Linked DNA regions of Lonchura striata. The main gene of each other region encodes a partner of the protein of the gene in region 2 in a complex. Links are inferred from orthologs where the notes say so. Each region holds a gene or a part of one and is shown on either strand. Other genes may lie near its edges.

What was found.
Region 1: SMARCD1 (region 2) and SMARCE1 share a complex: the UniProt entries of both Homo sapiens proteins name them as parts of the BAF complex. The link is inferred for Lonchura striata from reciprocal best matches to the Homo sapiens genes SMARCD1 and SMARCE1.
Region 3: SMARCD1 (region 2) and zinc finger protein neuro-d4 share a complex: the UniProt entries of both Homo sapiens proteins name them as parts of the neuron-specific chromatin remodeling complex. The link is inferred for Lonchura striata from reciprocal best matches to the Homo sapiens genes SMARCD1 and DPF1.
Region 4: SMARCD1 (region 2) and SMARCB1 share a complex: the UniProt entries of both Homo sapiens proteins name them as parts of the BAF complex. The link is inferred for Lonchura striata from reciprocal best matches to the Homo sapiens genes SMARCD1 and SMARCB1.

The regions. Positions count from the first base shown.
Region 1 is NC_134627.1:6,813,416-6,821,195, reverse strand, and holds the start of SMARCE1 (SWI/SNF-related matrix-associated actin-dependent regulator of chromatin subfamily E member 1), read right to left. Parts: upstream 3,014-7,780; 5' UTR 2,890-3,013; intron 2,158-2,889; 5' UTR 2,114-2,157; coding exon 2,107-2,113; intron 1,595-2,106; coding exon 1,551-1,594; intron 1-1,550. Other genes in the region: keratin-like protein KRT222, read right to left, coding at 7,556-7,769. UniProt on the Homo sapiens protein: Involved in transcriptional activation and repression of select genes by chromatin remodeling (alteration of DNA-nucleosome topology).
Region 2 is NC_134629.1:8,796,758-8,804,254, forward strand, and holds the start of SMARCD1 (SWI/SNF-related matrix-associated actin-dependent regulator of chromatin subfamily D member 1), read left to right. Parts: upstream 1-4,493; coding exon 4,494-4,658; intron 4,659-4,732; coding exon 4,733-4,920; intron 4,921-5,707; coding exon 5,708-5,750; intron 5,751-5,834; coding exon 5,835-5,957; intron 5,958-6,576; coding exon 6,577-6,699; intron 6,700-7,183; coding exon 7,184-7,300; intron 7,301-7,497. UniProt on the Homo sapiens protein: Involved in transcriptional activation and repression of select genes by chromatin remodeling (alteration of DNA-nucleosome topology).
Region 3 is NC_134633.1:4,835,297-4,842,921, reverse strand, and holds the start of zinc finger protein neuro-d4, read left to right. Parts: upstream 1-4,615; 5' UTR 4,616-4,655; coding exon 4,656-4,687; intron 4,688-7,625. Other genes in the region: RAB4B (ras-related protein Rab-4B), read left to right, coding at 1-108. UniProt on the Homo sapiens protein: May have an important role in developing neurons by participating in regulation of cell survival, possibly as a neurospecific transcription factor. Belongs to the neuron-specific chromatin remodeling complex (nBAF complex).
Region 4 is NC_134620.1:3,455,377-3,463,119, forward strand, and holds the start of SMARCB1 (SWI/SNF-related matrix-associated actin-dependent regulator of chromatin subfamily B member 1), read left to right. Parts: upstream 1-4,731; 5' UTR 4,732-4,798; coding exon 4,799-4,891; intron 4,892-6,439; coding exon 6,440-6,551; intron 6,552-7,189; coding exon 7,190-7,219; intron 7,220-7,695; coding exon 7,696-7,743. Other genes in the region: MMP11 (stromelysin-3), read left to right, coding at 490-737, 994-1,207, 2,493-2,750, 3,637-3,770.

The DNA.
Region 1 (7,780 bases), on a different chromosome or scaffold from region 2:
CCTCATGACATAAGCCACTGTTTTACTACAGTTTTTTGTATTACCATAACAACAGGCTTTGAATATGTTGAACTACAGCTCTTCAATAAAACCAGGTGACAATTGTAATCGCCGTCTGCTTATTTCTTTATTTCTGCAAGACAGGATTTAAATGTTACCAGGAACTACCTTACATCAGGGAGAACTGCACGGAGAAATTTTATTTCAGGTACAGTACTGCAGTTTTGAGAATTACTGAGATTTTGTTGACTGCAGCACCTGGAACTGGCTGTGGAAGAACAAGCAAGGTTATTTGGCTACTTTGTGACAGAGCAGAGACCAACACATGAAGGACTGTATAAAATATAATACAAAATAAAAGATGCTTGTAAAACAGGCAATGCAGGTCACTGGTTGCAGTCCTGGCATGTGCTTCATGTATCCTTCTGAAGAACTGTACCACATCAACATGAACCATTAAACATCTGTATTCATGCTATATCCCAAAGGAATCACATGTGTATGCACAGCTCTCGATGCAGGAATCCAGTGGTCAGAGGGGATCCATCATGGTCCTTCTAACACTGCCACAGATCTATTTTGCTGTGTGTAAAATGAAAACTCTGAGCAAACTATGAAAATCCAGTTTTATTTATATAAACTTATAAAAACATAACTTGTATTTATGTACTATATAATTTTCGAACCTCTTCCTGTAAAATATGGCACAAAAAATTTGAAGGATCACATTCCTTCTAACTCCCATCCTGCAGAGATCAAGGACACACTACTGGGTCACAGTCTTCCAATTCACTTTGGTAAAAAAAAAAAATCACTGTAGAATCTTTCCTCAACCTTCTGTACAAAGGATTTCTCCTAAAACTCAAACTACCCACAAATGTGACCAAAGATGTGCATTTATTTTCAAACAGTTCCTGCCCATGGTACACTGCTACTGCAGCACCTTTGTACATCCAGGAATGTCACTGGGCGGGATACAAAGCTCCTGTTCATGTTTTCCTCAGTGTCAGGGCATGCCACTTTACTAGAAAGTAAAATATTTCCCATGCCCTAGACTCCAAAATACCAGTGATTTCAAGGAATGCAAGACTGGCATCAGGAGTGTTTCATTATTCTGATCCAATACAACAGGATGCTTCATAATCCTGCATTCCACTCAATTGGAAAAAAAAAAAAAAGCAGCTCAGTACAACTGAACTGTGGAAAAATGCACTGTCTGCCCATGATCTGGGCACAGGCTGAGTAGGACATTTTACAATCAAATGTACCAGTTGATTCTTAACTATTCCAGTACTGCTGCAACCCACTGTGAGTCACTTGAGAGAAGTAATGCTCACAGAAAATTCAGTCTGTAAGATCCAGCCTTAGAGGCAAAACAAGTTTATTCGGCTTCTCTTTCCCAAACTTCTCAAAAATAATTATATTAATTTAAACAATTCATAGCACATTAATATCGTGTTTCCCATATTGGAAGGTGATGCAACTCCCTAATTATTGTTCTGGGAAGTTACTAAAGGCCTTGTGTTAATGAGAAAAATCACTATACTTACGGTTGCAGGAGCTGGGGTGGGAGGTGGGGCATAGGATGGCCTTTCTGTTAAGACAGAAATGTAAGCACATTTTTTTTTTCCCCTTGAAAATCTAAACGAATTCTTAAGGCATCTGCTATGGCCAATATTTTCAAATGATTTTACAAAACAAGCAAATTTTACTCTGAAAGACTTTGCCTTTTGCCACTGAACAGCAAAAAGCAACACTAGAAAAAGAAAGAAAAATTGAAATGCTCCTATTACTCTAGTCCCAGACTTTTGTTCAAGCACAAGACTGAAGAATATGAAATTCATTTATATGCACATCAATTACATGGAGGGAAAGCAAAAATACAGTCCAATAGGACTCAGAAGCTGTGATATCTGGATTTCCTACAAAAACAATATGCCAGGAATTGGCCACAGAAGGATTTAAGGCCAAGAGTTTAGTTACTACACTTGCTAATTTCTTTTAATGCCAGGAATAATGGCACCATCTCACAAACAGGTTCCACGGAAACAGATCTGTAAAACATCAAAGCTAAAGAAAGAAAAATCTTAAAAAAAAAAAACTTACTTGACATTTTGATAGTCAAATTTTCAGCCACCTGACATTATATTTGTACTTCTGCAAGACAAAAGAACAACATGCTAATAAGTGTTGTGCCTTTCCCCCCACCAGTTATTTGAAGCTTCGATTGTTATTGATACCAGTGATTATAAAAGTTCGTCAATTTTGGAATACAGACAAAAGCATTCTCAGAAACCAAGTTGTTATCTCTTTGAAAAATTAATGGATTTTCCAAGGAATCTAAAAAGCTGTGTAAGAGCACACAGCTTTAGGTCACCTTCATATTAAAGGGTCTAAATGAATATATTTTTTGCTGTAAGGAATAAAAAGAACATATCCCATTATTTTACACTCACTGATTCAGAAATCTGATATCGATATGTAAATGACCAAATTATGTATTTCCTTTACAGAGTACATACAACAACCACCGAGCCCCGCAGCTGCGGTCTGACAGGCAATTCTTAACCTTTTAGCACCGAACCCGGGAGCCCGTCAAACAGCGCTGTAACGAAGTGCCTTTTCGCCGTTTCTCTCCAAATCACGCCACGGGCAGCTGCAACCTCCTCCAGAATCCCTACTAACGACGTGCACCGGGCTCGCACGTAGGGCTGGCTTGGGAGATCCAGCAGAGCCTCTGCGGGCCCAAGGCGGCCACCGGCGGGGTCCCTCGGTCCCACCACTCCCTCCCCGGGCTCAATGGTCTTCCCGAGCCCCGCAGCGCTGCCGGAGAGGGGCCGGGGCCGTCCCGAGCCCCCCGGCCGGCCCCGCCGGGCCCCTCGGACTCACCCGCTCGGCGCGGCCGCGCTCCCTTTGTTCCCACGGGCCGGGGCGGCGGCGACGGCGCCTGCGCACTCCGCTCCGCACTTTCGACACGCGGGCCCCGGCCCGCCGGTGATCCCCTACTCACTATGGGGGGCCCTCTTCGGCTGCCCCGCGCCCCACCGAGGAACCAGGGCCGTCCCCGCACCCTCCGGGATAGCGGCGATTCCAGGGGCCGCGGCGAATCTGCGGGATGCAACCCGAGCGCCGCGCGCGGGGCGGCACCGCCCGCCATTAGCGGCACGGAGGCGCTGCCTCGCGGGGTGTCACAAGGGCTCCCGAGGCGCCCTAGAGACGCAGTGCTCGTCCCCTTCCCCCGCGCCGGCAACCCCGGTCACGGTGCCCCGAGTGCTGGCTGCCGGTGGCGAATCTGCAGCGCAGAACGGGCGCGCAGGGACGGCCTGCGGACGCTTCGTGCCCGCTGCGCTTTAGAGCCTTTTCCCCCTCACGGGCTGCGCGCGGCCCCTGAGGCGATTTTGGCGCCTTTTCCCCTCACGGGCTGCGCGCGGCCCCTGAGGCGATTTTGGCGCCTTTTCCCCTCACGGGCTGCGCGCGGCCCCCGAGGAGATTCCCCCTCACGGACAGGTACCTGAAATGTCCTGGACCCTGGGCTGCCCTGAGTCCACGGAAAACGCTGCGGGGTCATGTCCGAGCCCGAATAATATCCAATAAAAGCAGCGATGGAGTCAGGTGAACCGTCCGTGGTCTGTGCAGAGTGTGGTGCCGAAAGGGCTGTTTGGGATGCTTCCAGAGGCGGCTGAGTGGAGCAGGATGAGCCCTGAGGGCAGCGGGAAGGTGCCGGTGTGGGAGAATGTCAGTGGAAGGGACGTTAGAGACGGCTGTGAAGGCAGCGAGATGGCCCCGGGTAATAAATATGATAATATGTGATAATTGTCAACTAAATCAGCCTGACCAACTCAAAACACTCTGCTGCTGAATCAGACAGGATTATAAAGTACCCAGTAGTCTGGGAGCAGTGGAATTGTCCACAATTCCTTGCAGAAATCAGCGAAGTTATCACACATAGGTAAAACCCCCACAAATACCAAACAAGGTGAAGCATATGGCTCTGAGGGTGTGAGGAGGATGAAGAGTTCCAGACCTCAGCATTCAGCTTTAAGAGTCTTTTACACTGAAAATAGTCAAAAGTGACTGAATTAAATATGAAAACTTTGGCAGTGAAACTTGAAATTGAAAGTTTGATGTTGAATGTTTGAGGTTGAAATGGAATGTTTGGCATTGAAATGGTCTCACGTGGCCAATAAGATGTATTTCTAGACATTCATGAGGGAGAATTTGGGTGGATCCGAAGGAAAGCCAAAGGAGATGGTACCTGCCTAACCCAAAAGGATGATAGAAGGTGAAAAGAAGAAAAACTAACTGAACATGACTTGCTGCAAGTTGGGGCCATTTTTCTTGATGCCTGCCAGTTCCACTGGCTCAATTTGTTTTTATGCTTAAATACACTTATTTTTATGAACAAATAAAGAGACAAGAGCTCTGCCCTCATCTGCTTAGATTCTGCTGACTGTACCCACAATGGACATTTGTTGCCATATAGCAGAATAATCTGTGACTTCAATTTGATATTAAAGCAAGAGTTGAAAAGGTTCCTCAGCCAACGAAATACAACACATTAATTCACCATCTTAACTGGGGCAGGAAAAGGTAAAGAAAAGGTGAGAAAATACATGTAAGAGGTGAAAGATAACCTGGTTTTCCTCCTGCTTTTGACTAGGTTCACCCTAGTTTCATACATTCACTTCTAGTTTACTAATAACATAGTTTTGTTGATAGTGTAAATTGCATTTAATGTTAAATTAAAAATTGAAAATTTGCAATTTCTATTAATTATTTTAACTTTTGCTTTAATTTTAAAGCAAAATTTTAAAATTTGAATTATTTAAAATGTGTTTATTTTTAAAACGGAATTGTTTATTGTGGTGTTCAAGTACATTTGTGGAAACTGACATTCCATACTAATAGTTCTAAATCATTATATTTTCAAAGCCATCAGTGTATTTCCTACTTTGTTTTATTCCCCCTTTTTTCTTCCTATGCTCTTTGCCTCAGTTCCATCATGTGATAGTGAAAGGTTTTACCAGCGTACACTTTTTAATATCCTGTACAATATATAAGTAGTTTTACTGATTTAATGGAATTGTTTACACTGCACTATGCTCACCAGCGGGGAATGTAAAAACTAATTCTTACCCAACAGTTTTAATTACCAGCAATTTCACAAGCTTTGGAATGAGGACAGACATTCACTGGGAAGTAGATTGAGACAATAAAACTCGTTTTTACATCAGCCGTTTGCAGGTGCTAGTTGGCAGAGGCTCAGCTGGTCTGGATTTAATTAGAACCACAGAAATTAAGACTTCTCTGCCACAGTATTAAGCTTCAGTGTTAATTTTTTTTTTTTAAATTCCACTTTAAAGTGACCTAAAAATGAGGGTGAGATGTTATTATTTTGATGCCTATGTGGAGTTCACGCTGATACTTGTGGAAGCCAACTACTTTGTGAACAAAAGAGAGTTCTTTACATTTGGAGAGATGGAATTTGTGAATAATGCAAAAATAGATAATTACTGAAAGATGTGAAAACTTAGTTAAAACCAAAATGCCCACTTGAACCAGGCCTAAAGTAGGAGAAGCTACTGAAGTCAGTGTTAGGAAGTCACACATGAGGAAAATAGCCAGGGTGACTGGATTTGCCAGGAAAAAAGAGTAAGTTTTGTAGCAGAAGGACACTCACATGTTATGGTAAAGATTCTGAGGGAATTTGTGTCTTTCTAATTGTGGAGAGGATCAGAGAAAACACTTGTTACAGTGCTACAGATTTTCCTATCTGCAACTTTTATTTTGCATTTTTCTTTTACTTTCCACTTAAGGAGAAGACATTGACACACACAAAATAGGCATAGAGAAACTCCATTTTAATACTTTTTTTTTTATTGTAGTACTATCATTTACTTTGGTAAATTTGTATCCCTGTTTAAAGTGCCTTAAAGCAATTAAAACTTAGTTTAAATTCAAGTATTGTAAAATGTACAGAGTCTAAGCACAAAAAAAAAAGCTGCATAGTGAAAATACTGGAGCAGGCTGATACATTCAGGATGCCAAGTACTCAAGTGGTAATAACATCAGCTCATGATTCAGGTTAAGGATAATTAGCGAGTTTGATACAGTACAGACAGGATGGGGCAATATTGATGCATTGTTCTTACCATGAACAAAGGATAGAAGCATAGATTAACTCTGAAAGGATCTGCAGTATCACTTTTGTGCACATGCCATAAGTAATAAGGCAGATACTGACACTGAAATCAATCCTTTACGTGCTGTTGTAATCCAGCAAATCCTCTGTGTGGATTCTCCAGACTCTGAGCCCCAGCAATCCCGGTGCTCCAGTGGGAGCAGTGACATCCATCCTCTTCAGAATCCTCACAAATAATCATTGTTGTCTTCATACAATCTTGTTTGAGTCTTTGTTTGAAATTTGTCCTGTAAGGTTTTAAAGAAGGATGGCTGTTCCTCTGTGTACCGGTGCAGGGTTTCTGTTGGGGTTTGTGTTTGCCCACAGCCACTTTGGGTAGGAGTGGGGAGTACTTAAGGGGTCTGGTTGAATTGTACTTTGAATTTGTAGCCCTTATTTTGCCCAGTCAATTTGAAGTAGTAACAGTTGTACCCTGGTGTAACAGTGACTTGTCACATGGACAAAATCAACAGTATCACTTATCGGTAGTGTTTGTCAGAAGAGAAATTTGTTGAAGATATTTTAATGCACATTGTTATAATAAAAAAAAATGGAATAGCAGTATTCAAATGATCGTTTCATTCCTCCCATTTGAACAATAAGAGAATAATTTCATTTGCCTTGGCTAAGAGACTTGTAGTACAGATGTGTGTGGACACATAAGAAAATGATTGATTTTTCAGGGGAAATTACTGCTTCAAAATCAGTTGAGCAATATGGCTAAAATGTTACTGGATTGTAACAACACTTTTAAAATGGATGTATAGGGATGTAGAGGTAAGATATTTTTGCTCAGTTGTTGCCTGAAAAAAAGGAATTTAAAAATACTAGCCACTTTTAAAAGAAAACTCTTTGTTAATAGTTCATGTATTTTAAGAGTATTTTCATATGTAATTTTTGCTGTTAGAAAGTATTATTTTAAAATATATTTCTAGAAGTATGACAGCTGTGATATAAATTATTGCAAGTATTCACCAGTCATTATATGAATGGAATATTGAATAATTAAGAGAAGCAAATAGGCATTTCTCATTTTTGGAAAGAGAAAACAAGTTCTCTTTTACAAAGGCAGAATATGTCAAACTATAAAGTTCTAGTTTAATTTTTGTAACACTTGGTGAAAATCTACAAAACAACAACAATGAGAATATGAAAGGGCTGCACCCAGAGTATAAAAGCAGTAGAAGTTTGGGTTTCTTGGAATCAGAACCCCCTTGCTGTTCACCCTTTCTTTTGAAGGACTTAAATGGTTTTATTGTATCGATCCAAATGCTTGGTAAGATGTGTGGTTGTAGCAGACAGCAGCCGTGGGAGTCCATCTGCAGTTTATTTCCGGAGCCCATTGTGGATGCACTTTGAGGGAATTGGCTGAGGTTAAGGTTTGATGGATGGGATGCTGCAGGATCTCCTCATCACCAGCCTGACTTCAATGTCGGGGAGGGTTTTCTTTTTTGTGTGCAAACACCCTTCCTCTGTGGCTGCCAGGTGGAGATCGAAACGCAAGGAAACAGACTTTTTCCTTAAGCGAGGGTTGTCCTTAAAGAAAGAACCTTCCCATTCCTTAATAACTTCATCCACTTTTTCTGTCCTGAAACAATA
Region 2 (7,497 bases):
ATCCCCAGCCGGGGATGCCCCCCTGGCACCGCCGTGGCGGGGAAGGCAGCAGAGCCCCAACACCCCCGGGGTTCAGGGGGGCCCTGGGGCCACGGCTCCAGCCCCGCTGAGCCCCGGCAGCCCTGGCCCGGGGGGTTTGGGGTGTCTGTGGGTTCCCAGCGCCGTGCTGCCCCTCCCTGGCACAGCCCTGCCCTGGCTGGGGTCCGTGGCCACCAGGTCACTGCCCCCTGGGCCTGTCAGTGCCCACCAGTCCCCTCCGGGGTCCCCGTTGGGCCCCCCCAGCCCCCAGGCCAGAGCCCTCCCCGGGCCCAAAGTGCTACTTATCTTTAAGAGCTTTTGCAATAAGTCTTTTTAGTAATTTTTTTTTTTTTTCTAAACGGCAGTTTTGGTTTTTATTCTTGTCATTTTAATTCTTATTATTTGCTTCCTGACCAAAATTAGGAACTGGGGGTCATTCCTTTGTATCCAGCAATCACCCAAAGACGACGGCTCGGCCACATCCATAAATTTTCTTATGGATTTCTCCTAATGTTTCATCATGTTTCATTTATTTATTTTCTTTCTTTATCTTTCCCATTCAAGCTTTTAAAGATGGGGCTGGGATTTGACCTTGAGGCTCACCTGTTGAAGAAAACTCTTTTTTGTTATTATGTCATCGGCATTTTATATTTCTTATATATAATATATATGACTATATATATATGTGTACATATATATATATATATCTATATGCATCATGCCACTGTAGATACCCATCCAGTAGCATTTAGGCCTTGTTCTTGTGCCATTTTTTTTTTTTTTTCTGTTACTGATCTCTGAATGCCTTCAAGTGTATAAAGTGTGGAATTCTCTCCGGTATCTGTACTATGTACACACATTTTCATAGGAAGCACAATAAGATGACAGATGCATTGTACATCAATACCTGCTACTCTTAACAACGATGATATAAAGAATGATATAAATGATATAACTCCCCCATGCCAAGCCTTTCTCTCTTGCTGAGCTGCTGGAAATGCTCCCCCGAGGAGGCAGGTGGGGACAGCCTCATCCCGGGATGCTCCTGGAGCCCAGGGAAAGGGAAGGGGAGGAAAAAGCTTCGGGCCAGACTTCAGGAGCAGGGGCAGAGCTGAGGCTGGGCTGAGCCTCCCTTTCCTGGGAGCTCCTGGTGCCTCATCGAGCTCCAGCCTCGCTGCCTTCCCAAGGAACACAGGGCTGGAGGAGGGAAATGATTCCTCTTCCTGAGCAGGGAAAGGAGAATTAACACTCACAGAGCTGTTAATCCCTGACAGCTCCGTGGTTTGGGACCCACAGGAGTCACCAGGTGGAATTTCATCCTGGGAGCACAACCCAAATATAAACACACACACCTTTTGTCCTAAAAATTTCCAGCTACAAAGAGCAGTAGTAACAACAGAGCAGATCCAACAGAGGGCATCCAGAAAAAGCCCTCAGGACTCCATGGAGATGGAATAATAGGGAGTGGGAGTGGGCAGGGAACGCTGAAATGCCAACGCACACCCTCCTCCCCCGGTCCCTTGGCTCCGACCGTGTCCCCTGGCTCCTGGAAATGGCAGAAATGCAGTTTTGCATCTCAACGAGAACAGTCTCACCCCGCTCTGGCGCTTCCCGGCCAGAGCTGGAGGAGCAAAGGGCAGGGGGTGGGATTGGAAGGAGAACGGACGGGCCAGGAGGGCGTTAATGACCCCGATAATCGCAGCCGAGCCGTGCCCGCTCCCTCCCCGCGGCATCCCCGGCTCCGGGGGCTGGATATCCCCCCGGCTCCGGGGGCTGGATATCCCCCCGGCTCCGGGGGCTGTAATCCCCCCGGCTCCGGGGGCTGGATATCCCCCCGGCTCCGGGAGCTGTAGTCCCCCCGGCTCTAGGGGCTGCAATCCCCCCGGCTCCAGGGCCTGTAGTCCCCCAGCTCCGGGGGCTGTAATCCCCCCGGCTCCGGGGGCTGGATATCCCCCCGGCTCCGGGGGCTGTAATCCCCCGGCTCCGGGGGCTGTAATACCCCCGGCTCCGCGGGCTGTAGTCCCCCGGCTCCGGGGGCTGTAATCCTCCGGCTCTGGGGGCTGCAATCCCCCCAGCTCCGCGGGCTGTAATCCCCCCGGCTCCGGGGGCTGTAGTCCCCCGGCTCCGCGGGCTGTAGTCCCCCGGCTCCGCGGGCTGTAATCCCCCCGGCTCCGCGGGCTGTAGTCCCCCGGCTCCGCGGGCTGTAATCCCCCCGGCTCCGGGGGCTGTAATCCCCCCGGCTCTGGGGGCTGTAATCCCCCCGGCTCCGGGGGCTGTAATCCCCCAGCTCCGGGGGCTGTAGTCCCCCGGCTCCGGGGGCTGTAGTCCCCCGGCTCCGGGGGCTGTAATACCCCCGGCTCCGGGGGCTGTAATCCTCCGGCTCCGGGGGCTGTAATCCGCCCGGCTCCGGGGGCTGTAGTCCCCCCGGCTCCGGGGGCTGTAATACCCCCGGCTCCGGGGGCTGTAATACCCCGGCTCCGGGGGCTGTAGTCCCCCGGCTCCGCGGGCTGTAGTCCCCCCGGCTCTGGGGGCTGTAATACCCCGGCTCCGGGGGCTGGATATCCCCCCGGCTCCGGGGGCTGTAATCCCTCGGCTGCGCCGGGAGCAGGTCACCCCGTCCATCTGTCACAGAGCGGCTCTCCGGGAGCTGTCTGAGCCCCAGGGGCAGCACAGCCCTGCAATTCCCGTGGGATGCAGCAGGTACCACCGGGATGGGACGTGCAGAAGCTGCTCTTTGCAGGCACAAGACTCCATCGTGTCCATTGGAGCATCGGGGGACAGCAGGAGTGGGCTGGGGACATCAGCCCCGTGGGGATGCGGGGCTTCAGGCTGTTTGGGATCTGGAGACCCTCAGTCTGTTCAGGATCTGAAGTTGTTTGAGATACAGGCAGCCTCACCCTGACCAGGATTTAGGGAGCCTCTGGAGATCTAGGGAGTTCTGGGGACCTTCAGCCCGTTCAGGATCCACGGAGACTCAGCCCATGGAGACACCCAGCCCACTCAGGCTCTGTGGAGATCCCGAGATTGCACCACCTCCTGTCGCAGGTCAGAATTCCCCGTCTCCCCTCGCTGGCTGCTGGTGACAGCAGGCACCGAGGGACAATGCCACAGCCCCGGCTGCTGCCAAAGTTTCCATGGAGCCACCAGCAGGTGCAGGGGAGGCATTTCCAAAGCTGTTCCACCAAACCCCTCCGGACAGGAGAAAGGAGGAAGGGCACAATGAGGTCACCCCAGAGCCTGTCCAGAATGAACAATCCCAATTCTCCCAGTCTTTCCTCACAGCAGAGCTGCTCCATCCCTCGGATCATCCTGGTGCCTCCTCCTGACTCGCTCCAGCAGCTCCACATCCTCCCTGGGCTGGGACCTCCAGGCTGGAGGCAGCACTCATCAGATGATCATCATTAATTGTTTAATTAATACTCGTGGTGTGATTGCACACTTGGCTTTTTCCACGGATTAATGCTGACTGGATTTGTGTCCCTTTTCTCTCTGGGCACAAGAAACCGCTTCAGGGAAAAGGAACTTAATGTTAATACTTGCAGAAAGTGGCCTTTAACTCCAACCCCAGGGGAGACAGGAATCTTTTTCCTGGTGCTCTGCCTGAACCTGCACAAACTGGACCCATTTGTGGCCATTTGTTTTCCCCATAAACTTCATCCCTAAGAATCCCTGAGGTTGGAAAAGATCACCAAGTCCAAACTGTGACTGATCCCAACTGAGTTCCACGTCCAGCTTTTCCCTGGACATCTCCAGGGATGGTGACTCCCCCATCTCTCAGGACAGCCCCTCACCACCCTTTCCATGGAGAAATTCCTCCTGAATGTAACAGGGGGGAGCTCAGGTGAGGGGTGTCACTGCCACACCTGCACATCGGGGCCCTCCATGCCTGGGAAAGGCACATCCACCTCCCTCCGAGCACATCCCGGAGCAAGGGAGGCTCCAGCACCAGGGAACAGGGGCTGTAATCACAGCTGGGGAGTGGAGGCTGACACCCCCGAGCCTTCCCAGTGTTTGGGATCATCCTGCACCCCCCAGTCCCACCCCTCACTGTCCCCATTCCCTTCCCTCACCCCCAGTCCCACCCCTCACTGTCCCCATTCCCTTTCCTCACCCCCAGTCCCACCCCTCACTGTCCCCATTCCCTTTCCTCACCCCCAGTCCCACCCCTCACTGTCCCCATTCCCTTCCCTCACCCCCAGTCCCACCCCTCACTGTCCCCATTCCCTTTCCTCACCCCCAGTCCCACCCCTCACTGTCCCCATTCCCTTTCCTCACCCCCAGTCCCACCCCTCACTGTCCCCATTCCCTTCCCGCACCCCCAGTCCCTCACGGCCCCGAATCGCCCCCCCAATCGCCGCCGCTCGGTCCTCCCCCGGCAGGGGGCGCTGCGGGCGGCGGCCGCGGGCGGCTCCTCCCCGGCGCTCCGCGCGCCGCGCGCGGCCGCTTCCGGTTCCGCTCCCTTTGTGCGAGACAAGATGGCGGCGCGGGCCGGGTTCCAGTCGGGGCCTGCGAGCGGCGGCGGCGCTGGGGCCGCGCCCGGGGCCGCGCTGGGCCCCGGAGCGCCGGGCGGGGCGGTGCGCATGGGCCCGGCGCCGGGGCAGGGCCTGTACCGCTCGCCGTTGCCCGGAGCCGCCTACCCGGTGAGGCGGGGCGGCGCGGGGCGGGGCGCGGCGCCGGGCGCGGCGGGCGCTGACCGAGTCTGTTCTCTCCGCAGCGCCCCGGGATGCTGCCGGGCGGCCGCCTGGCGCCGCAGGGCCCGGCCATGGGGCCTCCCGGGTACGGAGGGAGCCCAGCGGTGCGGCCCGCGCTGGCGCAGGCCGGGCTGGACCAGGCTCGCAAGCGGCCTGCGCCGCAGCAGCTTCAGCAGGTGCAGCCGCAGGCGGTGCCCAACCGCAACCACAAGTAAGGCACGGGAGAGGGCGCATCCCGGGGCTATCGGGGACATCTCCGGCTCCTGGGGACATCCCGGACAATGGGAGTATCTCGGGGCAGCAGCAGCAACATCCCCTGGGCTGTCGTGGGGATCGGGAGGAATTTCTTCATGGAAATGGCCAGGCTTTGGAGGGGGCTGCCCAGGAAGGTGGTGGAGTTCCCATCCCTGGAGGTTTCCAAAGAATGATGGACGTGGCACTGAGTGCTCTGGGTTGGTGACAAGGTGGGGATCGGGTACAGCTTGGAGTCAAGGGTCTGGAATGGGTCTTTTCCAATCTCAAGGATTTTGGAGTTCTTGGTCCTCCTGCAGTGCTGAAGGGTCCTGTCAGGTCCTTGTGCATTCCCCTGGGACTGGAGGACAACGCTGGGCAGGGCAGGGCTGAGTTTATGTCACATGCCTGCATCCTGATGTGATGGCCCAGTGAGAATGAAATTTGTCCTGGATTTAAAATGCTGTCCCTGGAAAAGGCAATCCAAAGTTGATTGAGGCTGGAGGTCACTTGGTGTGGATGTTGTGTCAAGTCCTCCTTCCCAAGGGGTGAACCTTCTTTCCAACAGAGGCAGCCTGTTTTTAATAGATGTAATTCCTGTTCCTGTGCTCAGAAGGGTGGGGAACATTGAGATAACCAGTTAGCCCCACTGGAGCAGGGCCCAGCTAACTGGGGAGCCCCTGGCCACTCGGTGCTGCAGGTCTTTGAGCTCCTGTGCCCAGAGCCATTCCCATTTTCACGCCTCTTTTGTCTCTTGCCCCTGTCAGTGCCAAGAAGAAGAAGATGGCAGATAAAATCCTCCCACAGCGGGTGAGTGGGGTACGGGGAGGGGCTCGGGGGGAGGTGAGGCAGCCTGGGGAGCTGGTGGGCATTTCCATCCTTGCTTGGCCACAGATCCGTGAGCTCGTGCCCGAATCCCAGGCCTACATGGACCTGCTGGCCTTCGAGAGGAAGCTGGACCAGACCATCATGAGGAAGCGCCTGGACATCCAGGAGGCTCTGAAACGTCCCATCAAGGTAAGGGGAGTCTGGGTTGTCTCCAGGCTTTGGAAGCTCCTGAGTTCAGGCAGCAGGAGGGCACTGAAGGGTTGTGTCCTCTGAGTGTGGCATATCAGAGGTCCCAGTGCTCTGGACACAGCCAGGGACTGGTGTCGCTATTGGACGCGAGTACACAGAAGCTTGGTAAGTTTAAAAGAGAAAAAGAGCTAATTTTATTTCTGACCTCATAATAAATAGAATTCTAAAAGTGACAGTGGATTGGAGGATGAAATTGCCACCTCTCCAACCACACTGGTCAAACCAGCAGTCCATCAATTCTCTCTTCCCACAAAGGAGAATGCAAAACAATCATTATTTACATGGACAACGTGTGAGAACTCCAGTAGAAATCTGTAAACATTATCAGAAGGTTAAAGAAGTTCTATGAGAACTTTAAAACTTTCAAAATATCTATAAAAGAAAACACTTTTAAAAATCAGGGTGACAGAGTGGGACCAGAGTGGGTCCTCGCTGTGTGCTCCAGGAGAGGGAGAATGCGAGGCAGCTGAAAACACTGAGCTCGGTTGTAGCAAAGCCTGTGCAGGACAGCTGGCCCTGTGCAGGAGGATTGACGCTGAGCTGATGCTTTTTCTCCTAGCAAAAGCGAAAGCTGCGTATTTTTATCTCCAACACCTTCAACCCCGCCAAGTCGGACGCGGAGGACGGCGAAGGAACCGTCGCCTCCTGGGAGCTTCGGGTGGAAGGACGGCTGTTGGAGGATGTAAGTGGGAAGTGCCCATCCTCAGAGGACACTGTGGATGTGGAGTTGGCAATGAAACCAGTTTCCCAGTGTCTGAGAGCACAGCTGGGGCTTGATATCCTCCTTCATCTCTGTTTCCCAAGGAGTCTGATGGTGACGAGACCGAGAGCCCAGCTTGGAGACCGATGGGTGTCCCCATGGCAGGACATGAATTGTCCAAAGTTCTTAGAGTTGTGAGAATCACTGGTGAGAGCAGCTCAGTGGCACTTGTGTCCCCGGCTCTGAGAACCAGGGCACTGGCATTGTACGTAACTGCTGAGGGGTTTAACTCCTGCGAGCTCATCTTTAACTCCAGTCTTTCCCTTTCTGACTTGGAAACTTGATTTTTGAGCACACGTTGGTGAATTCAGGTGTTCAGAACTTAGAGGAGCTGTTGTGCACGGTGGCTGTGCTTGAGTGCTGAGACTTGCTGCCCTAACCCTCTTCCTCCCTGTGTTGCTTGCAGTCTGCTCTGTCCAAATATGATGCCACCAAGCAGAAAAGGAAATTTTCGTCCTTCTTTAAATCTCTGGTCATTGAACTTGATAAAGACCTGTATGGCCCTGACAATCACCTAGTAGAGGTGAGCTGCTTTTTGCTGTGTTTCCTCTAAAAAGTGGGTTGGTGTTTCAGCAGGTGGGGTTTGTGTGTTATTTATAACTTGGGAGGTGGGAATCCTTGAGGCTTCTAGGAGCCAGGAGCTCTTGAATTCTCACTTTGGCTTTTCCTCTCACTTCCTGAAGGTCAGAACAAATGTACTGATTCTTGTTTCAAACTCTA
Region 3 (7,625 bases), on a different chromosome or scaffold from region 2:
GATCCCGAGCGGATGGGGTCGGGGATCCAGTACGGGGACGCGTCGCTCCGGCAGCTCCGGCAGCCCCGGGGGGCTCCGGCCCCCACCCGGCAGAGCTGCGGCTGCTGAGACCCCAAAAAATCCCCAAAATCCAGGTGAGGCACCCCGAAAATATCCCAAAAATCCAGGTGAGGCACCCCAAAAATATCCCAAAAATCCCAGCTGAGATCCCCCAAAAAATCCCCAAAATCCAGGTGAGGCACCCCAAAAATATCCCAAAAATCCAGGTGAGACCCCCCCAGAAATATCCCAAAAATCCAGGTGAGACACCCCAAAAATATCCCAAAAATCCAGGTGAGACACCCCGAAAATATCCCAAAAATCCAGGTGAGATCCCCCAAAAATATCCCAAAAATCCCACCTGAGATCCCCCAAAAAATCCCAAAAATCCAGGTGAGGCACCCCAAAAATATCCCAAAAAATCCAGGTGAGACACCCCAAAAATATCCCAAAAATCCAGGTGAGATACCCCGAAAATATCCCCAAAATTTAACCCTAAAATTCCCCAAATTTAACTCCTTAAATCCCCCAAATTCCCCCAAAATTTAACCCCAAAATCCCCCAAATTTAACCCCTTAAGTCCCACAATATACCCCAAATTTAAGTCCAAAACACCCCAAAAATCCCCCAAAATCCCCAAATTTACCACCAAAATCCCCCAAAACTTAACCCCAAAATTAACCCCACATCCCCAAAATTTCCCCCAAAATTGAATCCTAAAATATCCCAAAATCCCCCTAATTCCCCCAAAATTTTACCCCCAAATTCCCCAAAATCCTCCAAATTTAACCCCTAAAATTCCTCAGATATCCCCAAATTTAACCCCAAAATCCCCAAAATTTAACCCCAAAATTAACCCCAAATCCCCCAAATTTCCCCCCCAAACTAACCCCTAAATCCCCAAAATTTAACCCCAAAATCCCAGAAATTCCCCCAAAATTTAACCCCTAAATTAACCCCAAATCCCCCAAAATTTAACCCCAAAATTAATCCCAATTTCCCCAAATTTCCCCAAAATTTAACCCCAAAATTAATCCCAAATCCCCCAAATTTCCCCCAAAAACTAACCCCAAATTCCCCCAAAATTTAACCCCAAAATTTCCCAAAATCCCCCAAATTTAACCCCTTAAGTCCCCCAAAATCCCCCAAATTTCCCCCGAAATCCCCCAAATCTCCCCAAATTTAACTCCTTAAATCCCCCAAATTCCCCCAAAAGTTAACCTCAAAATATCCCAAAATCCCCAAAATTTAACCCCAAAATTCCCCCAAATTTAACCCCAAAATCCTCCAAAATACCCAAAATTTAACCCCAAAATCCCCCAAATCTCCCCCAAACTTTAACCCTAAAATCCCCCAAATTCCCCAAATCTCCCCCAAAATTTAACCCCAAAATCCCTCGAATTTCCCCCAAATTTAACCCCAAAATTTCCCAAAATCCCCCGAATTTCCCCTAAAATTTACCCCCCAAATTTCCCCCAAAATTTACCCCCAAATTTTCCCAAAATCCCCTGAATTTCCCCAAAATTCCCCAAAATATCCCGCATTCCCCCAAAATTTAACCCCAAAATTTCCCAAAAATCCCCTGAATTTCCCCCAAAATTTACCCCCAAATTTTCCCCAAATCCCCTGAATTTCCACCAAAATTTAACCCCAAAATCCTCCAAATTTCCCCCAAATTCAACCCCAAAATTTCCCAAAATCACCCGAATTTCCCCTAAAATTTACCCCCCAAATTTCCCAAAATCCCCAAAATTTCCCCCAAAATTAACCCCCAGATTTTCCCCAAATCCCCCGAATTTCCACCAAAATTTAACCCCAAAATCCTCCAAATTTCCCCCAAATTCAACCCCAAAATTTCCCAAAATCCCCCAAATTTCCCCCAAATTCAACCCCAAAATTTCCCAAAATCCCCCAAATTTCCCCGAAATTTAACCCCAAAATTTCCCAAAAATACCCTGAATTTCCCCCAAAATTTACCTCCAAATTTTCCCCAAATCCCCCGAATTTCCCCCAAAATTTAACCCCAAAATCCTCCAAATTTCCCCCAAAACTTAACCCCAAAATTTCCCAAAATCCCCCAAATTCCCCCCAAAATTTACCCCCCAAATTTCCCAATTTCCCCCAGATTTAACCCTTTCCTTCCCTTCCAGGACCAGGTGCCTCTGCCAGACCCGCCGCAATTTTGGGGGGGGGGTCCCCAAACCCCAAATTTTGGGTCCAAATCCGCGGCTTTTGGGCAAAAACAAAAATCCCCCAAAACCCCCTCGGGCTCTGGGGGGGGTCCCCAAATTCTTTTGGGGGGTCCCCGATTTTTCATGCGGTTTTTGGGGGGGTGCCCAAAATTTGGGGACCTCCCCCAGTTTTATAACTTTTTTTTTGCCTTTTTTTGCCTTTTTTTTACCTTTTTTCCCCTTTTTTTGCCTTTTTTTTCATTTTTTTACTTTTTTTCCCCCTTTTTTTGCCTTTTTTTTGGCATTTTTTACCTTTTTCCCCCTTTTCTTTCCCCTTTTTTTTCCTTTTTTTTCTTAATTTTTTTCCTTAATTTTTTCCTTTTTTTGCCTTTTTACCCCCTTTTTTTCCTTTTTCTTACCTTTTTTTTTGCCCTTTTTTTCCCATTTTTTGCCTTTTTTCCCCCCTTTTTCCCCCCTTTTTTTTCCCTTTTTTTAACCTTTTTTTGCCTTTTTTTTGCCTTTTTTTTGTCCCTTTTTTTTCCTTAATTTTTTTTCCTTTATTCCCTTTTTTTTTTTTTCCATTTTTTAACCTTTTTTTGCCTTTTTTTGTCCCTTTTTTTCCCTTAATTTTTTTCCGGTTTTTTGCCTTTTTTTGCCTTTTTTTTGCTTTTCTTTCCTTTATTTTTTTCCTTTTTTTACTTTTCTCGCCTTTTTCTTCCCCCCCTTTTTTTTACCTTTTTTTTCCCTTTTTTGTCTTTTTTCCCTTTTTTTCCTTTTTCTTCCCCCTTTTTCCCCCCTTTTTTTTTCCCGATTTTTTGCAGGGTTTTTTTCCTTTTTTCCCCCTTTTTTTTGCCTTTTTTCCCCCTTTTCCCCCCTTTTTTTCCGCCCATTTTTTGTGGTGTTTTTTCCTTTTTTTTCAGTTTTTTCCCTTTTTTTCCCTTTTTTCCCCCTTTTTATCCCCCTTTTTTTGCCTTTTTTTACCATTTCTTTCCCTTCCCCCCCCTTTTTTTTCCATTATTTTTTCTTTTTTTTCCTTTTTTTCCCCTTTATTTTTCCCCTTTTTTGGCCTTTTTTTTCCTTTTTCCCCCTTTTTTGCTTTTTTTTTTTTTTGGGGATTCCCCCAAATTTTTTTTGGGGGGTGTGGTGGTCGCCCCTCCCCCAATTTTTTCTCCATCCCCCCAAATTGGGGGGGTCTTTTTTCCCATTTTTTCCCATTTTTTCCTCATTTTCCACTTTTTATTTATTTGCACTAAATTTGGGGAGGGGGGGAGGGAATTTTGGGGAGGGGGGAAAAATTGGGGAACCCCCCCCCCAAAAAAATCCCAAAAACTCCCCAAAACTCCCGGGAATTTTGGGGATTTCCCCCAGAACCGAAGTGTGAAAAATGTGAAATAAAAAATTTACGTTTTCAGCTTTTTGGGGCATTTTTGGGGTGATTTGGGGGGATTTTGAGGGGATTTTGGGGGGATTTTGGGGAGATTTTGGGGGGATTTTGGGGGGGTTTGGGGGGATTTTGGGGTAATTTGGGAGATTTTGGGGGATTTGGGGGGATTTTTGGGGATTTTTTGGGGAAATTTGGGGGGATTTTGGGGGGATTTGGGGTTTTTCGGGAGTCTCTGAGAGGATTTGGGGAGATTTTTGGGGGAAATTTGGAGAATTTGGGGGATTTTGGCGGATTTGGGGGATTTTGAGTGGATTTTGGGGATATTTCCAGGGGATTTTGGGGGATTTTGGGGAGGATTTGGGGGATTTTGGGATTTTTGGGGAGGATTTGGGGTGGATTCCGCGGGCTTTGGGAGGATTTGGGGTGGATTTTGGTGCGATTTTGAGGGATTTTGGGATTTCTGGGGAGGACTTGGGGGATTTTGATGGATTTTTGGGGAGGATTTTGGGGATTTTGGGGGGATTTTGGTGAGAATTTGGGGAATTTGGGGTGGATTTTGGGGAGGATTTGAGGGATTTTGATGGATTTTGGGGGGATTTGGATGGATTTTGGGGAGGATTTGGGGGATTTGGATGGATTTTGGGGGGATTTGGATGGATTTTGGGGGGATTTGGATGGATTTTGGGGAGGATTTGGAGGATTTTGATGGAATTTTGGGCGATTTTGGGGCTCCCTGCCCCCCCTCCCCCCCTTAGCACTGACAGGAGGGAGCCCCGCCCTTAGCCCCGCCCCTTTGCGGTGATTGACAGCTCCCCCAGCCAACCAGCGGCGCGCGGGGCACGCCGGGAGTTGTAGTCCCGCCGCCCCGCCGCCATTGCCCCCCTCCCCTCCCCCCCGCCCGGTACCGGCGGGCACCGGCAGCGCGGGGCGGGGGGGGAGGGGCGGGGCGGGCGGGGGTCCCGCGGGCTCGGCGGCGGCCCCGGGGGGGCAGCGGGGGAGGGGAGGGGGGGCCGAGCCCCGCCGCCCCCTCCCCGAGCGCGGAGCGGCCCCGGCGGCGCAAAATGGCCACGGCTCTGCACAAGCCCCTCAAATGGTGAGCGCGGCTCCGGGGCACCGGCACCGGCACCGGCACCGCCCCGGCACCGGCACCGCCGCCCGGCGCCGCCCCGGCACCGCCCCGGCACCGGGCTGGGCCCCCCCCACCCCCAGCCCGCACCGGCACGGCGGCGGCGGGGGCGGGGTGGGACCCCCGGTACCGGGGCTGGGAGGGGATGGGGGCTCGGTACCGGGAGGGGATGGGGGCTCCGGTACCGGCACCGGCAGGGGATGGAGGCTCCGGTACTGGCAACGGGAGGGGATGGAGGCTCCGGTACTGGCAACGGGAGGGGATGGGGGCTCGGTACCGGCAGGGGATGGGGGCTCGGTACCGGCAGGGGATGGGGGCTCGGTACCGGCACCGGCAGGGGATGGAGGATCCCGTACCGGTACCGGCAGGGGATGGGAGCCCTGGTACCGGGGCTGGGAGGGGATGGGGGCTCGGTACCGGCACCGGCAGGGGATGGGGGTTCGGTACCGGGAGGGGATGGGGGCTCGGTACCGGGAGGGGATGGAGGCTCGGTACCGGGAGGGGATGGAGGCTCCGGTACTGGCAACGGGAGAGGATGGGGGCTCCGGTATCGGCACCGGGAGGAGATGGAGGATCCCGTACCGGCACCGGCAGGGGATGAAGGATCCCGTACCGGCACCGGCAGGGGATGGAGACTCCCGGTACCGGCACTGGCAGGGGATGGAGACTCCCGGTACCGGCACCCGGAGGGGATGGGGGCTCCGGTAACGGTGATTGGAGGGAATGGGTGACCACCAGTACCGGCACCGGGAGGAGATGGGGGCTCCGGTACCGGCACCGGCAGGGGATGGAGGCTCCGGTACTGGCAACGGGAGGAGATGGGGGTTCGGTACCGGGAGGAGATGGGGGTTCGGTACCGGGAGGAGATGGGGCTCCGGTAACGGGACCGGGAGGGGATGGGGCTCCGGTAACGGTGATGGGAGGGGATGGAGGCTCCGCTACCGGCACCGGGAGGGGATGGGGGTTCGGCACCGGCAGGGGATGGGGGTTCGGTACCAGTACCGGAAGGAGATGGGGGTTCGGTACCGGCACCGGGAGGGGATGGGGGTTCGGCACCGGCAGGGGATGGGGGTTCGGTACCGGCAGGGGATGGGGGTTCGGTACCAGTACCGGAAGGAGATGGGGGTTCGGTACCGGCACCGGCAGGGGATGGGGGTTCGGTACCGGCACCGGCAGGGGATGGGGGTTCGGTACCGGGAGGGGATGGGGGTTTGGTACCGGTGCTGGGAGGGGATGGAAATCCCCGGTACCGGCACCGGGAGGGGATGGAGGTTTGGGGTTTGGGCCCGGTACCGGCGGGGTTGGACCCGGTTCGGGCGGGGATGGAGGTGCCGGTACCGGCGGGGTTGGACCCGGTTCGGGCGGGGGATGGAGGTGCCGGTACCGGCGGGGTTGGACCCGGTTCGGGCGGGGATGGAGGTGCCGGTACCGGCGGGGGATGGAGGCTCCAGGATGGAGCTCCCGGTAGCGGCGGGAGGGACTCGGTGGGGATGGAAACCCCCGGTACCGGCTGGGAGGAGGACCCGGTACCGGTGGGGAGGAGGACCCGGTACCGGTGGGGAGGAGGACCCGGTACCGGCTGGGATGGGGACCCGGTACCGGCTGGGATGGGGACCCGGTACCGGCTGGGATGGGGACCCGGTACCGGTGGGGAGGAGGACCCGGTACCGGCTGGGATGGGGATCCGGTACTGGGATGGGGACCCGGTACCGGCTGGGATGGGGATCTGGTACCGGCTGGGATGGGGATCCAGTACTGGGATGGGGACCCGGTACCGGCTGGGATGGGTATCTGGTACCGGGATGGGGATCTGGTACTGCCAAGATGGGGATCCGGTACCGGGATGGGGATCCGGTACCGGCGGGGTCCCAGTCCCAATTCTGGTCCTAATCCCGGTCCCGGTCCTGGTCCCAGTCCCGGCCACAGTCCCAATCCCATCCCAGTTCCGGTTCTGATCCCGGTTCTGATCCCAATCCCTATCCCAGTCCCAGTCCCGGTTCTGATCCCGGTTCTGGTCCCGGTTCTGATCCCAATCCCTATCCCAGTCCCAGTCCCAGTTCTGATCCCGGTTCTGGTCCCGGTTCTGGTCCCAATCCCTGTCCCAGTCCCAGTCCCGGTTCTGATCCCAATCCCTATCCCAGTCCCAGTCCCGGTTCTGATCCCGGTTCTGGTCCCGGTTCTGGTCCCAATCCCTGTCCCAGTCCCAGTCCCGGTTCTGATCCCGGTTCTGGTCCCGGTTCTGATCCCAATCCCTATCCCAGTCCCAGTTCGGATCCCTGTCCCAGTCCCGGTTCAGATCCCGGTTTTAATCCCGGCCCAGTCCCGGTTCTGATCCCAATCCCTGTCCTGGTCCCAGTCCCGGTTCAGATCCCGGTTCTGATCCCGGTTCTGATCCCAATCCCTATCCCAGTCCCAGTCCCGGTTCTGATCACGGTTCTGGTCCCGGTTCTGATCCCAATCCCTGTCCCAGTCCTGGTTCAGATCCCGGTTCTGATCCCGGCCCAGCCCCGGTTCTGATCCCAAGCCCTATCCCAGTCCTGGTTCAGATCCCGGTTCTGATCCCGGTTCTGATCCCGGTTCTGATCCCAAGCCCTATCCCAGTCCTGGTCCCAGTCCCGGTTCTGATCCCGGCCCAGTCCCGGTTCTGATCCCAATCCTAGTCCCGATCCTAACCCCTTCCTGGTGCAGGTTCTGATCCTGGTTCCAGTCCCAGGTCTGATTCCATCCCGGTGCCGGTTCTGATCCGGTCCCGGTGCCGGTTCTGATCCGGTCCCGGCGCCGGTTCTGATCCGGTCCCGGCGCCGGTTCTGATCCGGTCCCGGTGCCGGTTCTGATCCGGTCCCGGTGCCGGTTCTGATCCGGTCCCGGTGCCGGTGCCAATGCTGGTCCCTGTCCCAGTTGGGTC
Region 4 (7,743 bases), on a different chromosome or scaffold from region 2:
GTGGAACTTGCTAAACTTCAGCCCTAGCCAACAATTGCTTCAAGCTGGGTGGACAAACACCAACCTGACCACACCACCTCCTATACCTCTGGTCTAGACTTCCTTCTCTGTGCAAATTTCTCTTTTCCAAAAGTGCATGGAAAATGCTTTTGTTCCTGGGAGCTGATGAGGTGCCAAGAGCCTCTGACAACAGAATTGCAGATTACCAACATGTCCAGGTTAATACCCAAGTGTATGAATTGACTCATGCTGCTTCTGAGCCAGTGAACCCCTTTATTATTTCCTCTGACTCCTTAAAAAAAAACAACCCACAAACATATTTTTGAGCTACACAGGAGCTATCTGGGAACAACATAGTTGGAGTAGATTTCTCTTTCCTCCTTTTGGACTCCTACAACACATGTCAGTGTCTGGTAACTGGTAGGAACAGGCCCAGGAGGGCAAAGCATGTGAGTAGACCAAAGTATCTTCCATCTTTTCCCTTTGTAGGCACTGACCTCCTGCAAGTGGCTGCCCATGAGTTTGGCCACGTGCTGGGCCTGCAGCACACGGCTGTCTCCAAGTCCCTGATGTCTCCTTTCTACATCTTCCGCTACCCCCTGAGCCTGAGCGAGGACGACAAGCAAGGTATCCAGTACCTGTATGGGAAACCCTCGGCGGACCCTGACCCAACCCCAACGCAGCCAGCGGAGCTGCCCCAGCCGGACCTCGAAACAAATGAGATCACCAACGTGGAGGTGAGTGCAGGTTCCCTTCCCTGACAGCCTGGCTGGGGCTGCCCTGGCAGCAGCCTGAGTTGGTGCCTGCCTCTCCCACCAACACCGCTGCGCCCAGCCCCAGAGCCCACGGCTGGCACTGGGCTGTGCACAGGGGGTCTCCGGGCAGCCCGTGCCCAACGCAAGCCGGGCAGCAGCCTGCACACGGGGCCTTGCCCTGAGCAGCCAGGCAGGCTCGGGGGCTCTGGGTGCCAGCCTGACGCCTGCGCCTCGGCAGGCCGTGCAGCCCGACGCCTGCCACACGGCCTTCGATGCTGCAGCCGCCATCCGAGGGGAGCTGTTCTTCTTCAGCTCCTGCTACGTGTGGCGGCTCCGCGCCGGAAAGCTGCAGGATGGCTACCCGGCCCTGGCCTCTCGCCACTGGCAGGGCATCCCCAGCTCTGTCGACGCCACCTTCGAGGACCCTCTGGGAAACATCTGGTTTTTCCAAGGTAAGAGCTGGACTGTGATCAGATGGCTCAGAAATCTCAATTACTTAAGGGTAGTGAGGACTCAGCAGGTTCCTGAGACAATAAATCTCCTGGAAATCCTCAGCAGTCCAGTGATCCTTGTCATTTGTTTCCTTAGCTATTTAAACTTTTTATCAGGTATTGAAGACAGAGAACAAGAGTTCACTTTTGTTTTAAACACGTCACAGTATCCCATTCTCCTTCTCTGGAACACAAACATTTGTAATTTGCCTCTATCCTGGCAGAGGAGAACGAAATAAACATTTGCTCCATCTCTCCAGATGTCATGGGAAGCACTGTGCCAGAAGTGAACCCCAGCAGTTCGTTGGTTGTGCCTGTGGGCCCTGCTCAGGGCGGGGACAGGATTTTCTCTGCTCCTCAGTGACCTGGATGTGGAATTTCCCTAGTACCCCATGGCTTTATGAGCCGACAAGGAACCTGGGTGCAGAGCCAGGCAACCTCCAGCAACCATAAAGATTAGGAATGAAACCACCTCCTGGCCGTCTCTGGGGTTCAAGGCCAGCAACAAACCTCATTTCAGCTCCACAGTTTTTTTTAATGCTCTTCCTAAGTGGAGGTTTAATAGGAGGGATGCAGAATGATCTGGGAACTCATTGTGGGTGTGCACACCCCGTCTGCACTCCATGAGACCAAGCACCAAAATCAGGGTACCAGTGGCTCTGCAGGCAGAGCTCCTGCATGAACACATTTCTGAGCACCTGACCTGCACACAAGGACTTAACAGTGCTAAAATTGGCAGGCTCCTACAGTGAGTTAAAATGAGATAAGGGGAAAGTATTACATGCCCTAGGCTAATTACAGAGATTCCCATTTTAATCTACTCTGGAACTCTGCTTCCAGTCTCTATATCAACTTGACAAATTCTTCCTGGTTTCTGTTCCTTTCCAGCCACATGCCCCCTTTGTGCCTGTGCATGCCCACATGATTTCCAGGTGCTGAGATTGCAGGGCAGAGACTGGTGCCTCCAGCCAAGTCCTTTGTAACTTCCACAAATAGATAAAAATGCTGCTGAAATGGACCTTCCTATCCCCCACCAACACCCACCAGGCTGGACTGAGGTGGGATGCCAATGCATTGACAGAATTTTGGACACACAACAATGGCAGCATCCCATCACACTTGGTGGTGGTTTTGCCTCTCAGGCACAGCTTCCCATGGGGGCTCTGCCAAGGCACCAGTTGCACAGTCCACTGTCAAATTATCAGAGTTTTTGACCCCTTGTTTCCCTTTTCTGTCTCCTCAATAGATTCTCAATACTGGATTTATGATGGTGAGAGACGGGTATCTGGTCCCACCCCAATCGTGGAGCTGGGCCTCCCTGCATCCCCTGTGCAGGCAGCTCTGGTGTGGGGGGCTGAGAAGAACAAGGTCTACATCTTCAGTGGAGGCAACTACTGGCGCTTCAACCCCCAGAGGCGCCAGGTGGACAACATCTACCCCCGGGCCATGGCCGACTGGCGCGGCGTCCCGCCGGAGATCGACGCCGCGTTCCAGGATGAGTTTGGTCAGTGCAGGAGCGTGGCCTGCTCTGCCTGCCAGCACTGCCCAGCTGGAAGAGCTGGGCAGATTTACACATGTGGCAGTAGTGAACACTGCCCAACCACAACACATCCCATACAGGGTAGAGGGGCAGGTCCTTCCAGCGGGTAGAGAATTGAGAAGTTGTTCCATTCCCATTCATTGCAGCAATTGATATGTAAGTGTATGATAGAGAGAAGTCAAATATCTGACCAAGGAATGGTCACAGAGTCCTGCCCACCTCTTACTGCTCCTGCCAAAGGAAGTGATGAGAAGACAACAGAAATACTCCCCACACTTCTACCCGGGGAACTGAACAAAAAACAGGCTGCTTTTGGTATTGACCAGTCCTCCCCAGTGTGCCCCTTGCTGAAAATAGTAGGGCAGTGCCACAGAAACACTGGGGACAGCCAGGGTGCTTGGGATGACAGGTGTGGCGAGTGCCTCTTTCCTCTCTAAGGATGAAGTGAAACAACTCACTGCTTCCAGAACATAAATTCCAGGGCAGTTTGCCCACAGGAACAGATGCTCTGAGCAGGTCTTCACAAGTTCCCTGTCCCTGTCCTAGAAATCCCCTGCCCTCACAGGGCTGGGTCACTACAAGCATACAGCATATTTAAACCCACCAGGAAAATAAAATTAAATCCATCCTGTTTACTGTCCAAAAAGTAAAACTAGATTTTTTATCGAAACTAAAACAGTGTGAAAGAAAAGCGACTGCCACAAGCCTGGGTTCAAGTAAAATCTCCTGCCTCTTCCAGCTCTCTTTCAGTACCGTATGTGTTGCAGAGTGACAGCTGAACAAAATGCTGGCAAAGAGCTCTGAGCCACATGAATGCTGCCTCTCCTAAACCTTCCTCTCTCACCCACAGGTTTTGCCTACTTCCTGAGAGGCCGAGATTATTGGAAGTTTGATCCAGTCCAGGTGAAAGTGCTGGAGGGCTACCCACGCCAGATCAGCCAGGACTTCTTCAGCTGCACACCCTCCTCCAACTCCTTCAGATGAGGGGGATGCTCTGTCCTCCACGCTCCCCTGTCATCTCCCTTTACCTCCAGCAGCCACAGAGAGGGTTCCCTCTGCCATTCCTGGCTTCCCACCAGGCTCAGCATCTGACACAACAGGTGTCTGTCACAAGTGACAAAGTTTGCTCCTCTCCAGTTCCAGCAGCCCCAGCTTCAGCTGCTATCAATGTAAAAGCAGCTGCCATGTTCTTTACAGGCAAGGGAGGCCACTCTCTTCTAGCAATAGCATCCCAAAAGCCACCAAGGCCAGCCTGGAATAGGATCATGCTCTCATAACTAATCAGAACCCCATCCTGTAGAACTGATCCACGGCATTTCCTATGTTTACATAACTCACTAGGGCAGCCCTTTGCTGCTGCAGACGCTGGCCAAGGAGGAATGACCCCCCAGCCCGGGGCTTTGAAGGACACCGACCCTACCTGCAGAGGAGGAGGACTGCGACGTGCGGCTGTGCCAGAGCCACTCCGCCGGGGCAGCCGAGCTGGCTGCCAGGGCCTGCCGCAGCCCGAGCCCGGCTTGACGTGTATCCCTAGCATGCGTTAGGATTTTGTACCGATCTGTACATAGACAAGGGGCTCCTCCCTCGCTCCCTCGCCGGTGCTGGGTGCCAGTGCTGGACACTGCCCCGCGCTCATCCCGCCGAGGTTCCCACCCCGGGATGCTCAGATGCACTGATCGCTCTCGAGCCGCCGTCCAGGCCCGGGCTGGCAGCGCACACCGGCCGTGCCTGCCCAGCCTCAGGCCAAACACCCGGGGCTGCCAACAGCCTCTTCCCTTCCCACCGCCCGGCCCGGCCCGGCCGCGGCGCTCCGTGTGTATTTATGTTCCGCCCCGCCACAATAAAACCCGCCTCTTTTCTACATCCGTCTCGGCTCTGTGCTGCGCCCCGCGCCCGGCCGCGCCGCCGCGCCCCGCCCGCCGCATGCGCGCAGCGGGCCCGCGCTAGGCCGCGCTCCGCCCGCCGGGCCGCGCTCCGCTCTCCGGGCGCCGCCGCCCCCGCCCGCCGCCGCGATGATGATGATGGCGCTGAGCAAGACCTTCGGGCAGAAGCCCGTCAAGTTCCAGCTGGAGGAGGACGGCGAGTTCTACATGATCGGCTCCGAGGTGCGGCCCGGGCGGGAGCCGGGCCCGGGCCGGGGCTGCGGGGCCGGGCCGGGGCTGCGGGGGGCTGCGCTCAGGGCGAGCAAGGGGCGGAGGAGAGCCCTGGCGTGGGGCGAGCGGCCCCGCGGGTCCCCTCTGCCCCGGCGGGCGCTGCCGAGGGCCTCAGCCGTGCTGGGGGATGGGACGGAGCAGTGCTCCCGTAAGGGCGGCCCCTGGGGCCCGCACGGGTAGGCGGGGAGCGGATCGTGCCCGATCGCAGCCCGAGGCCCCGCTCCCGCTCACCGGGAGTAATTCCTGTACGCAGCTGTTGAGGGGTCGGGGTTGTTTCACGTGCTGCGGGGCAGCGAACCCCCCAGCTGGGCCTCTGGGCTCGGGACCAGCACCAAAACCAGCCAGTGCAGCTCCTTCTGCCTGGTGCCCAGTCTGGGCAGCAAACAGGCGGGCAGAGGCTCAGCACCCCGTGTCTGTGCTGGCAGCTCTGTTGTCCCGTGCTGAGAGGGTGTTGAGCCTCCCTGACAAAGAGCCTTATTCAGGCAAGAAACACTGGCCCTTTAGCACCAGGGAAACAGCTGAAATCAGGAAAAAACGTTACAGCCCCCAACTTGATGCAGAAAAGGGACTGTTGGATAAGTTTCACTGCCAGCTCTGTAGGTTGAGCGGGGACTGAACACCCCTCGCTCTCGTGAAATGTAGAGTTTGAAAGCAAACTGTACCTGCAGTCAGCTGAGCTGTGAGACTGCCATACCAAGTACATGGAGAAGAAAAAGGGTTGTCTTTTTTATCTACCATTAATTTCTGTCTGTGGATGAGCACTGTAGAGTGAAAAATATAGCTAAAAACGAACATCAAAAAAGAGTTTTCTCAAACAAGGAATAAAAACCTTGTTGTGTGGCAGTCTGTCAGGGTCCTGGCAGTCTAAAAATTTGATTTCAGAGTCTAGAAATAATTGTGTTGTCAGCAAGGCCTGCTGTAGCTTTCAGCATAGGTGAGGATGTTATGCCAGGAAGAACAGAACTGCTTTACAGATGGTAAGTAAATCTGAAAGAGGACTATTGGCAGCAATCACATTTTTGATGTTCAAAGGTTTTAAAACAAAATACAAGTCCCTGGGCATTTGATGTAGTCACATAATGTCTAGATGATGAGGAGGTTCAAAGTGAAAAATAATGTGTCGGAGAGCTGGGTTTCTGGTTTAGTTTAATTCCAACTGAGCATTGCACATTGATATGGAAACTGAAGTAAAGAAGGTGTCTGTTGTTCAAAAATACATGCAAATGAACGGAGTAGTTTCCTATTATCAGTAGATGGGAGTTATTTTGGATCTAGTGAAGTAAGATTGCACCAGTGAAATAAGTGCTGATAAAAATTCTGTTTTCTATGTTGCCAGAAAAATCGTGGTGCTATTTGATGCCAGACACAGCACAAAAACCCACCAAAAGCACCCTCTTAAGAGGTCCTTGTTATCATTAAAAAGACCTGAATTTCTTCCAGCCTCTGCTGTGATTCTCCTACATGGAATACCAGGCCACGTGTCCACTTCTCTTCTTGCAGGTGGGGAACTACTTGCGCATGTTTCGGGGCTCCCTGTACAAGAGGTACCCCTCGCTCTGGAGGCGCCTGGCCACGGTGGAAGAAAGGAAGAAGATTGTGGCCTCTTCACATGGTGAGAAGATGAGTAAACATTCCCAGAAATGTTTGTCGAAAATTTTGCCTTGAACAACTGTTCCTGGTGATTCAGAAGCTCGTGCACCTTGAGGGCCGCATGAATCGCTTCAGACTGCCCCAGTGATGGAGCACCCTGCAACGGTGGCACTGGTGGCTCCTGGTTCAGGCTGGCAAGAAATAGCACCTGATCAAAAACATTCTGAAATGGAAACATCCATCATGGAATTCCTGGGATTGGCTACGTTCATCACAAAGCAAAAGCCACATCTCCAAATCAATACCATATTTCAGAAGAGATTTTTTTGTAGACTAAGAGGGGTGTCTTTGTCTCTCTCATCGAATAGGCAGCAGTGTTGCAAGGATGCCCCATTGAAGATGTGCATCTTTGCTTCTTGCAGGGTCTGGATGTTTGTGCCTGCCAGAAATTTAACTGCTTGCTACTGATGTGACTGCTACAGGGAGAATATTGGCATTGTTTTTGTTGAGGGACTAATAGCAAGCAGTTAAATTTCTTAGTGATATGATTCTTGTATGTTCTGTAGACTAAAGCATAATAAAAAGAATGGTTTGCTCTGGGCTTATGTCTCTTTCCTCCAAGTATCTTGCTGACCTCTTGCTTTCTTTTTCCCCCAACAGAAAATCAGCGGTCTCACAGTCCTCGAAGATGTAAGTCTCATCTGTGTGTTATTCTTAGCTGTGCTAGAGGAAGAATGTCCACTGTGACCTTTGGTGCTATTGCAATAATATTAATGTCTAATCCTCTTCCTCTGATCTCTGTCTGTGGTCAGCCTTATTGTACCTCCCAATCCCATGGTTAACTCTTTCTCAGAACCTTAGCAGGACTCTCCACTGCAGATGGTCTCTGTCATTCAGCAAGAGCTGTCCTGAGGCCTCTCCCCCTTCCCCAAGTCTTTAACAGCTTTTCTATCGATCCTTGCATCTCTAGTTCCGACCTTTAAGTCCACTGAGCGTTGTTTTCTGGGCCTTGTAATTATCTACAAGATGAAGCCCAAAGGACACTTGTATCTCTGTGTTAGCCCCTCCTGCAGAGACAGAGAGGGTTTGTCACTATGTAGCTTGTTAATGCTACGGTATAGGTAGCCCTTTTCTGAATTAATTATTGCCATCTTTCCTGGTAATAGATCATGGCTACACAACATTAGCCACTAGTGTGACGCTGCTAAAGGCCT